3 linked regions of the Callithrix jacchus genome follow. The protein of the gene in region 3 purifies or fractionates together with the protein of the main gene of each other region. This does not show direct contact. Links are inferred from orthologs where the notes say so. Each region holds a gene or a part of one and is shown on either strand. Other genes may lie near its edges.

The links.
Region 1: the proteins of STX7 (region 3) and VAMP4 purify together in Homo sapiens (affinity purification with mass spectrometry; 3 studies listed by BioGRID and IntAct, counting the BioPlex papers as one, with this or other methods). This does not show direct contact. The link is inferred for Callithrix jacchus from reciprocal best matches to the Homo sapiens genes STX7 and VAMP4.
Region 2: the proteins of STX7 (region 3) and PTTG1IP purify together in Homo sapiens (affinity purification with mass spectrometry; 3 studies listed by BioGRID and IntAct, counting the BioPlex papers as one, with this or other methods). This does not show direct contact. The link is inferred for Callithrix jacchus from reciprocal best matches to the Homo sapiens genes STX7 and PTTG1IP.

Annotation. Positions count from the first base shown.
Region 1 is NC_133519.1:31,011,137-31,014,790, forward strand, and holds part of VAMP4 (vesicle-associated membrane protein 4), read left to right. Parts: intron 1-1,927; coding exon 1,928-2,028; intron 2,029-2,915; coding exon 2,916-2,995; intron 2,996-3,654. UniProt on the Homo sapiens protein: Involved in the pathway that functions to remove an inhibitor (probably synaptotagmin-4) of calcium-triggered exocytosis during the maturation of secretory granules.
Region 2 is NC_133522.1:50,512,771-50,516,424, forward strand, and holds part of PTTG1IP (pituitary tumor-transforming gene 1 protein-interacting protein), read right to left. Parts: intron 1,786-3,654; coding exon 1,614-1,785; intron 712-1,613; coding exon 665-711; intron 1-664. UniProt on the Homo sapiens protein: May facilitate PTTG1 nuclear translocation.
Region 3 is NC_133505.1:139,117,904-139,121,557, forward strand, and holds part of STX7 (syntaxin-7), read right to left. Parts: intron 2,853-3,654; coding exon 2,759-2,852; intron 2,081-2,758; coding exon 1,943-2,080; intron 827-1,942; coding exon 774-826; intron 259-773; coding exon 162-258; intron 1-161. UniProt on the Homo sapiens protein: May be involved in protein trafficking from the plasma membrane to the early endosome (EE) as well as in homotypic fusion of endocytic organelles. Mediates the endocytic trafficking from early endosomes to late endosomes and lysosomes.

The sequences.
Region 1 (3,654 bases), on a different chromosome or scaffold from region 3:
GAGAGTTCTGCATGCCCAACTTGGATGAGCTTCAGTCTTATATCCTCCAGTGGAGTAATATGTGGGAAGCACAGAACTCTGGGATGCTGTGAAAAATCTTGAAGTTTATGTGTGGGTAATCGATGGGTATACATAATGCTTTTAACATGGAAGGTAGGTGACTTTCATCAAGCTTTTAATTGCTACTTGAATCTGAGAGTATTTCTGAATCCATCTATGTCTAAATGGGCCTTCATTTTGTTTTTAAGCACACTTTTTGAAGAACTAGCTCAATGATAGGAAAGGATAGACCTGTTTCAAAATTAAACATGACCATGGCTTACCCCTGACTTACTACGTTGGGGGCTTGTGTGGGATAGAGGACAGAGACCATATCTGTGTACTGTAAAAACTTGTTAAAGCCCCCTAGATGATAACTCATACACTTCTTTTTCAACTAGAAACACAATTGCATATTTTCATTTATTTAAATACACACATACACACACACATACACATTTAATGTTTATATACCATCATGGGCCCTTAATGACAGGATACGTTTGGAGAATTGCATCATTAGGCAGTTTCACTGTGTGAACATTATAGAGCATACTTACACAAACCTACCTGGTGTAGCCTACTATACACATAAGCTACAAACCCATCCAGCATGTGACTATACTGAATACTGTAGGTAACTGTAACACAATGGTAAGTATCTGTGTGTTTAAACATATGTAAACATGCAGTAAAAATATGGTATTATAAGTTATGGGACCACCATTGTAAATATGGCTTATTATTGACCAACATGTTTGTAGCACATGCCTGTAGTTGCTAGTAATCCAATGCACTTTCAACAGTTTTGAGTTATGAGGACCATGGATTTGCTTTATTCCTCTTTTAAAATATTTCATTATTGTGACTTATTTCATAAAGTAATTTAGATAATTTTTTGTCTTGTGGTTAGAGCAACACAGGAGAACAAGACACTTAAAATCATTAACCATGTCCATGTTTGTGTACTCTGGTGGTAACTCCTGAATGAAAGTAGGTACCTGAGGACCAGTTGTAGTTATTAAAATTTTAAGTTTAGGTTAAGTCTTTACTAAACAGTCTGAAATTTGGTTAAAACAGGTCCCAGTTGTTCTTCAATTGTTTGTTAATCCTTTATATTAGATGATATGACTATTATGATATTATATGACTATTATATCATCTTATTACGATATTATATGACTATTATATCATCTAATATAAAGGATTAGCAAACAATTTTTTTCTTTTTGCTTTCTGGTGGGTACTTCAAAATATTCCTAGGTGTCCCCAGTTGTCTTATACCCTGTTTATGTTTAAGAAAAAACTGATGAGTAGTGAAGAATTCTACCCATTGAACATTAGTATCTCTTAGAATATGCCATACATTTCCGTTTTGGAAACTAGATACTTATCATAAGCCTTTACCATACCTGAGCAAAAGGTATGTTAACATAACTACTTTGTTAGCCTACATGTATGAAATATATAGCAAAAGTAGAGTACAGCGATGTCTGTGTGTGCTGCCTCAAAGGCCTGTTGAAAAGAAAATGAAACATTTTTAGTGAAGCTGTTTAACTAAATTCTATGCTTAATGAGCATGCTGCCAGTACATTTAACTTCCTTATGGGTTACAAGTCAGAAGTAGGGCTAAAAGTAAGCTATCTTTAAATATTACTTTAATTTATATCGTATTGTCTTTCATTATGTGAATACTGAAGCCCACAAATGGAAGGACATTGCTACAAAGTCTTCAATTTAAATTCTGTAACTGAATAATTCTGAGAGAATTTGCTATTTTTTATTATGTCTAATAAAAGTTCCAAAAATTTTTTGCTCCAAGTGATAGGAAGAAAAAAATTGTAAGCATTCTCACAAGAAGAATAAATCATTATCTTTTTTAACCTAGTGTTCAGAATCAGGTGGATGAAGTTATTGATGTCATGCAAGAAAATATTACAAAGGTAATTGAGAGAGGGGAGAGACTAGATGAACTACAGGACAAATCAGGTACAGATCTTCATGTATTTCTTGATATTATTACTCTGTTTGCTAGTTTATGTCTTCTACTTGTCTAGCCAGTGTTTACAAATCTTGGCTTAGGAAATTGGCATTTGGTTCTTATATGTATGATTTTACTGGTTTAATTTTAACTCCTTTGCTCTGAAGAGTTTAAAATTTCATTGTTGAAGAGTAGAGCTGTTTTTTCTTTTGCCCTGTAATGTTGATGTACTTTGTGTTTCTCATGATCTCAGGGCCTAAAGACTTACCACTTTTCAACACTTGTCTCTAACTTACCTGATATTTTTATTCTATGCTTTATTTGATAACTTAGTCACCTTTCTTTACTTTCACTCGTTACACCTGTAACCTATACCTATACCTGGCACATACTTGGCACTCAAATATTGTTTGAATGGTGAATGGCTGAATAGCTGGTTAATCTTTTACAGACTTACTTAAAAAAAAAAACCTCGCTTAGTCACTTTTAAAATGTATTTTGTTTTCCTTTAAAATCAGTCACTGTTGATATTTAAGAACCTTTTCCACATGTTTTTTTTTCTAGAGGTGTGCCAAGTATTTGAATTTTTAAAGAGTATTTTCTTACTAGAATTCCTAAGTTTATTTGTAAGCATTGAGGCCCTAAAAAGACTTTTCTTAATTTTATAATAAAAAACGATTGCACAAACTGATCTGTAAGCTGTTTGTTGCTTTTGTTTTGTTAATGTATAATGCCAGAATTTGTGGGTGGGAAAAAAAGGGAGAATGTTGTTTTCATGCTTAAAAGGGAATCAATTTGCAGAAGTAGAAATTAATATTTTCTTATCTTTGTGTGACTAGATAAAAGAATCCTGTTATGTCGTTTAATCCTTCTCTCCATCCTCTATGTGATATAGAAAGCTTATCGGATAATGCAACAGCTTTTAGCAACAGATCCAAACAACTTCGAAGGCAAATGTGGTGGCGTGGATGCAAAGTAAGTAAATCAGAAGATACTGGGTAGATTGGTCAGCATCTGAAGTGGTATTCAAACACATGAAGAAAAAAGGGCCTCTAGAGCATAACCTCTGTGAAAACAGGGCCTATAACTGTCCTGAGACATGGTAGAAATACTTGTTAACTTAATGGCTTTGGGGACAGGGATAACTAAATAAGTATGCCTAAAAGGATATTTTCATAGATTTTTTTCATGAAATTATTCCAGATTTTATTAATAACTTGGTTACCACTAGACTTACTAACTTGTAACAAATACACATTTTTCCTTATAATTTACTCAGTACTTTTTTGGAGCAACGTCTATAGCATTATGTAGAGCTATCAAAAAAATAAAGTGGAAGCTAGAGAAAAATATGACTTTTGGTTGAAGGGGGAAAAAAATAAAAGCAGCTTACATATCAGAATCTGTTAAGGCAAATAGAGTTAAGAAAAAACTCCACTTCCCTCATTATTCCAGAAAAACAAAAAATAAATTTTTAACAAGAAAAATATTGAGAATCGCTACATACTAATACACTCCTGCAAAGTATTTTATAGAAATAAAATTTACTTCTTAATCAAGTGTGACTACTAATCAATCATTAACAGAAAATGGTTTTCATGTTATGTGAGCAATTTTTTTTTCTCCTGATTCTA
Region 2 (3,654 bases), on a different chromosome or scaffold from region 3:
TGATCTGGGGAGGACAGGACAGGTAATGTAATGTGTGTTTCCAGTTCACTCCATCTAAACAAGGTTTACTTTCGGCAAATACATTCATTCTAGCTCCTTCAAAGCTGCCCCTCAAAATCTCCCCAGACCAAACAACAGAGCGCCAAGGCCAGGCAAGAGGGAGCAGGGCCCGTGCCGGCAATTCTCAGAAGGAACTTCTGCCACACTCAGAAGATGGCAACCAGCATTGCTCCCGAGGGTGAGGGGCCGTCCCGAAACAAAGAGGGGAAACTTACAGCACCGGCACCTCGGTTACATAGATGCACCCACAGGGAGCCAAACATGACCGAGGAAGAGCCGAGACTTCCAGCCCAGAGGCCTTGCGACTTGATAAGCAAACAGGTACCCAGGAAAACAGACTTCATAAAGACAACTGGCTGAGATAAAAATATTCCTAGGAGCGGGTTCACCGCGGCACCGCCAGGGACGCCAGCTGCTCCTCTCTGAGAGAAGCAGTTCTGCACTGATGGGTGAACCCCTAGCCCAATCTCAGGCCCCACCAGCACTTGGTTCTATTCCGACGGGTGAACCAGCCTGGTGTCAGGCCCCACCAGCACTAACAAGGACCAAGACGGCGCAGCATCGCCTTCCAACCTGTCCAAAAGGGGGCTGGTCCAGTCCTTACCATATTTTTTTCTGATTTCGTCATGTCTTGTCTTCATCTCCGCTCTCCTAAAACACAGAGAAACATGATTAGCATCAAGCTACAGCATTCAGTGTAACTGTATGACATGCCCTCCGTGTCCCTCAGGAGGGGCTGCAGGTTTCTTCTGGTGGCTTCCCTCCAGTTCCCAGAGTGAAACCAGGGTAGGGACAAGCTTGGTCACTGGACCACACACCCACGAGGACAGGCAGGGTGACAGTGAACCCAGTCTTCCGAGGCTATTCCAATGTATTATCTATTCTTTTCAATAAAAGTAATTCAAATGCCCGATATTGTGATTTTTCAAAAGCTTTTTTCATACAAAAAAAAATACACCGATGAGTAAAAATCATACACCAGGTTCTGAACAGGGTTAGGAAATGCGATCATCAGTTTTACCTAGTAGCATGTGACTTCAAGGTGGATGCATGGAAAATGTGTCCTGCCTCCACCCTCACCAGCTGCCAGCTTGACTCCCTTGCCAGGTGTGGCTGACACCACCTCCTCCCAGGGCTACCCAACAGCCCCAGGAGAGTACTGTGTCACCAGGGAATGGTGACAGGAGAGCCAACCTGGCCACAAGCAGACGCTGTCCCCTCTGAGCCTCAGCTTGCTCCTGGCACATGGAGAGCCTGGACCAGCCGCCTTAGCAGCCATAAGAGACCCGTGACGCCACAGATGCGAGCCTCATTGCACGGACCGGAGGAGACAGGCAAGGAAGCCTGTGGAAGCAAGGTCCATGGCCACCGTCAGGTTCCCACCCTGTTCTCACTCTCCACCATGACCTAGAAGGTCCCCTGGGTGCTATACACATTCTTAATTTCTAAAACCTGAGGAAAACTCATGATGTATGCACGTGACTCCCATGGCCTTGGAGATGTGAATCCCCTCGAGGCCAACTTCTTCCCAGAGGGGATCGCTGCGACCTCACCGTTCCTCCTGCCGTATCCGCCTCTCCTCCCGTTCACGCATGGCCTTCTCCTCGCTCCTGTCTGGCTTCCGGCTCCTCTTCCTCCTGCAGCAGCAGCAGCAGCAGACGGCGATGCCCAGGAGGAGGGCTCCCCCAACCACCGACATGGTGATGATCAGTGCCTCAAAGTTCACTGGAGAGTCACACACCTCGAGTTAGGGCCGCCACAGACACAGAACCACCCCAGCGCAGCACCCTTCCCTTGTCCCTGGGAACCATCTCAGAACACGGGAGCATTAAGTAGTAAACGCCTCGGCCCAGCTGCTGGCTCCCGGGGTGTGGAGAGCCTGTGGCCCTGTACCCACCCCACAGCGTCCGGCCCTCTCTGAGCCTCCTTTCAGCCACAGGTTCACATCTGTGACTACCACTGATGGATTAACCACGATGAACTGAAGTGACACGGTAATCTCACTTGAGTTTGCAAAGGTATTCGAAGCACAAGAAAAGTTAACTAAATCAGAATTCTAAGCTACATATTCAGACCCTCCTAAGACATTCTAAACGCATAGAAATGGATGTGAAGCCTGATGCAGCTTTGTTTTTGTTTAAAGCAAAGTCAAGACTATTACACTTATTTACAGGAGAAAGAAACTCAGGGCACAGACTGACCGCCAGACTCAAAAGGAGTGACCTGGGAGGGGCGGACCAGGCCATGGAACAAGATGGGGTCATCCTCAGATCTGAGTATTTTGGGTTCCCTGGGGTTGAAAAAGGGCTAATCAGTACCCAACACTAATGACCTCCATAATCAACCTTCAGAGACACATGCAAATTTAAAACAAATCTTACTATTCAACTTCTTTTAAAGATCTATAAATTAAAATCAGCCAAGACTTTTCCATTCAGTTCAAACCACGGCCAGTTAGAAAATGCCCTAACACTGCTCTGCAAACGTGTTTTCAGTCATCCAGTTCAAACAGCCTCCTTGGCTGGAACACCCATAATCCCAGCACTGTGGAGGCCGAAACAAGAGTGCGTGAGTCCAGGAGTTCAACACCAGCCTGGCCAACAAAGTGAGACCCCACCCCTGCCCATTTCTACGCAAACTTTCACAAAATTAGCTGGATGCGGTGGCATGCACGTCTGGTCCCAGCAACATGGGAGGCTGAGGTGGGAGGATCGCTTGGGCTGGGAGGTTGAGGCTGCAATGAGCCATGCCTGCACTACTGCACTCCAACCTGGGCAACACAGCAAGACACCGTCTCGAAAAAAACAGAAAACACCCACCCAGTCTCCTGAAGACGCTTTATGAGCAAACTCCCCTGGGCAGTAGATAACCTATGATTCACTGTTTGTAACTCTAGTTAGTAGCTGTGCCACGCCACAGGTGAGAGCTCTGACCTCCAGGGGCTGCATGGACTCCCTCAGTCCGGCCCTTTGCTGCCGTGCGCCCTGAGATGCACTTCTAGTGGGTTATCATTTAACACAACTCATTTTTTACTTGATTAAACTAGTTTGAAAATCAGGAATGGGAGTTGCATCTGATCAAATGCCTTTTGAGCTTCTAATCCTGTTTTTTCTTTCCCTGAACCGTTCTGGAAATATCAAATTGCAAACATTACAATAATAGAGAGAATTAGAGAGGGGACCTTCATTGGCAGAAGATGTCATTTTTTTTTTTTTTTGAGACGGAGTTTTGCTCTTGTTGCCCAGGCTGCAATGGCACGATCTTGGCTCACTGCAACCCCCACCTCCGGGGTTCAAGCAAGTCTCCTGCCTCAGCCTCCCGAGTAGCTGGGATTACAGGCATGCACCACCACTTAGCTAATTCTGTATTTTTTAAATAGAGACAGGGTTTGATCACGTTGGTCAGGCTGGTCTTGAACTCCTGACCTCAAGTGATCCCCCCACCTCCCAAAGTGCTGGGATTACAGGCCCATGCCACTGCGCCAGGCTAAAGATGTCATTTTTTGACTGGAGAACTCCAGAAAAATCAGCTAAAAAACCCAATGAGACCAACAAGATAGCTGGCCCTAAAACATACCTACCCCTCCTCAGACAG
Region 3 (3,654 bases):
AGTGAGCTGAGATTATGCCACTGCACTCCAGACTGGGCCACAGAGGGAGCTGCCTAAAAAAAAAATTCTTTCTCATGCCTTCGCCCAGCATTATCCAAGCATCTTGATAAGAAACTGACTAAGAACAGAGCAGCAGCCCAAGGCTATAATGTAAGGCTTACTTCAAGTTGCCTGATAGAAGACTCTCTTTCATGAATAAGGCGGAGGTCATCCTCTGTAATTTCTTCATCCTGCACCTGCACTTGAGGTTGAGTTTGGCTAACAGAAAAAAATGAATGTGGAAAAAAACAAAGATTGGTTGGTATTCAAAACAATGAGACTCATTTCCTATTTAAGATATATTCATTAAATAGGAGATTTTATTTTTCCAAGTCACAGAACTTCTCACTTAAAAAATTCTAAGACTATAATAATCAAATTTTACTCATTTTTCATTTCACTTATATCATTTTATCTAATATGAGTTTAGTGTTATTACTTAATCATTGGAAGTTATATTGGGCAACTGGGTATTTCTTCTCACCTGACTTAAACCTCATATAAGGGAATGTGTCTATTAAGTCCATAAATATTTATTTGGAAAATTTTATATATAATAAATACTTTATAATTAGTGAATTTGTTTTTCAAACTTACTCTCTGTTTTCAATGTATAAAAAACTTAAGGTATTTATGATATAATATACTGAAAGTTTTAATTCTGTTCTAGGGACCTTAATGTATAAACTTTGAAAAATTACCTTTTGATCTGTAAAATATTTTCTATTTCTTACCTTTCCCAGGATACAAGATTCCTTTCTTTTGAGCTGTCCTCAGGAAAACCGCCCTGAATAATTTAGTAACAGGATGGAATGAGAAGGGGCAAAGAGAGGAAAAATAAGAAAAAATAAACAACACTCATATTTTCCCTTATGATAATCTAAACTGATTTACATATACGTGCACGCGCGTGTGTGTATGTGTGTGTGTGTGTTTGTGTACAGAGAGAGAAAGACATTCTTGTTTTAATTTTTCAGGTCAACTGTTTCAAGTAATAATATAATTATAAGTAATTTTATATTCTAAGTAGACAAGAAAGGAATTGACTAAATATTCTAAAGTGTTAGAATACTAAATATTCTCAAGTATTACTTGGTTAAAGCTTAATGCAGTCTTGGAATCCGTATGTTAAGGAATAAGAAAACAACTCATGATACTTTATAAGGGAATTTAAAATTAGATTAATTCAAAATTCTACTGAAAAGTTTCATTTATTTTCTCCAGGCTCATGTTCATTTTCAATATTCATACAACATACTTGCACCATTCATCTTTGTCATCTTGGTGTAATCCAGGAGGAAAGTGCTTTCTATATTAGTGTGTACACAAGCAGAAAGCCTCAGTGCCAAGACAATATGAGAATACTAATGAGGACTTGATCCCTAATCTTTTCTGACAAATTATGTCTCTAAATTTTTACATAATCTATAATATTCTATAAAATGACACAGAAAAAATAACCATAGTAATACATAATTATCATCCTTCTCTAAAAATGGAGAAGAAAAGCATAAAAATAAATATTCAAGTGCTGATTTCCAAGATATTCACAGATCGTATGCTACTACTGACTTTCATGGGCCCCTTAGAAAGTAATCATGTTTGGGAGGCTGAGGCAGGTGGATCACGAGGTCAATAGATCGAGACCATCCTGGTCAACATGGTGAAACCCCGTCTCTACTAAAAATACAAAAAATTAGCTGGGCATGGTGGTGCGTGCCTGTAATCCCAGCTACTCAGGAGGCTGAGGCAGGAGAATTGCCTGAACCCAGGAGGCGGAGGTTGTGGTGAGCCGAGACCGCGCCATTGCACTCCAGCCTGGGTAACAAGAGCGAAACTCCGTCTCAAAAAAAAAAAAAAAAGTAATCATGTTTATTTCTAGAATGTCTCTCTAAATACTTACAGACACTCTGGAACTGGCTCTTACTCGAGCAACAAACTCTTTCTCTCGCTCAGCAGCCTGCCTCTGGACCTTCTGGAAGTTTGTCAGTGATGTTGTGAACTCTGCCACTAAGCGATCTTTCTGTATTTTCCTTTGACGCTAGGGGTAAGAGAAAAAACAAGGCCAAGTAGAATCAAGCTGTGAAGTTCAACAGAATTTGGTAGCTGTTTTATCATTAGCTGGCTCTTTATCTAATCCTGAAGTTTTCACTTACTCCCCAATTACCAGGCCTTACGGATTAACTCTCAATAACATTCTGACAGTATGTCAAACACTGTACATATTTAACTTGAGGCAAAAGACCCATTGTGCTGGATTTGTCACCTCAAGTTTTCACGCTGCTAAACACTAGCTCATGATTTTGAGCCTATTTTAAGCAATTCCTTTTTAGACAAATAAAGCCTTATGCTTTTAGCTAAGTAATAACTTCCATTGCATAAGCAGGGAAATAAATATGTTCCCCCAGGACACCTCACATGCTGAATGAGTCTGCACGTTGCATGAAGTCAGACCTGGGAGGCCAGGAAATAATTACTCAGGAAGCATTTTCTGAGAACTTACTTAATTACGGGTCAGGGCAAATGCATGGAAATAATTTTTGCTTTATTGAACCACAGGATACTACCTGAGCAATTAAATATAGTTTTGTGTTCTGTGAACTAATGTCAAGCAGAATTATTTTTGATTTCCTTTTTAGCATAAGAGTTCAAAGATCCTACAATGCATTTGATTTTTTTCACATTCAATACATCAACAATGGGTCTTAAAGCTTCATACCTGTTCACTGGGGGTGGTGGGCAGAGATCCAAACTCTTTAATGTACTTGTCTGTTTCTTTGGCAAGCTGGTTAGTATACTGCTGCTTCTGTTGCCTGAAGTGAGAAAACACACATTATGGCCAAAGGATTAATATACTTCTTTAAGCTGCAACTCTGCCATTTAAATCAACACTGACAAATAGTTGTATAAAAATTGCCTTTGCATAAACTGGCTCTGAACTTCGTAAAAAAAAATTCATGTCCTTTTCTTTGATAAATATTGAGCAAATATTGTATGTCAGGTTCTTCACTCACACAGGTTAGCTGAGCTTAGAGAAATAAAAATCAATGACCATTTAGAAACAGATGAATCAAGTCAGAGGAAACTTGAAAAGGAGACTGTTGGACGTCTGATCCTTTAAGTTTGAGATATTGGGGATGTGGGAGCCTTTTATCCACATCTCACACCTGGAAGGTGAGGTGAGCAAGAAAAGATTTGTTGCCTTAGACTGTACCTCATTCCCAGATCTTAGTTATATCTGGCCTCTCCTATTTCTCTATATGACCATGTATATGCTATAGATACTTAAAAAAAAAAAAAAAAAAGGCCCAAGCTTGCCGGTTCATGTCTGTCACCCCAACACTCTGAGAGGCTGAGGTGGGCAGATCGTCGTAGGCCAGGAGTTTGAGACCAGCCTGTCCAACATGGCAAAACCTTATCTCTACCAAAAACAACAAAAATTAGCCAGGTACAGTGGTGCACATCTGTAATCCCAGCTACTTAGGAGGCTGAGGCAGGAGAATCACTTGAACATGGGAGGCGGAGGTTGCAGTGAGCTGAGATCACACCACTGTACTTCAGCCTGAGCAACAGAGGGAAACTGTCTCAAACAAACAAATAAACAAAAAGAAAAGA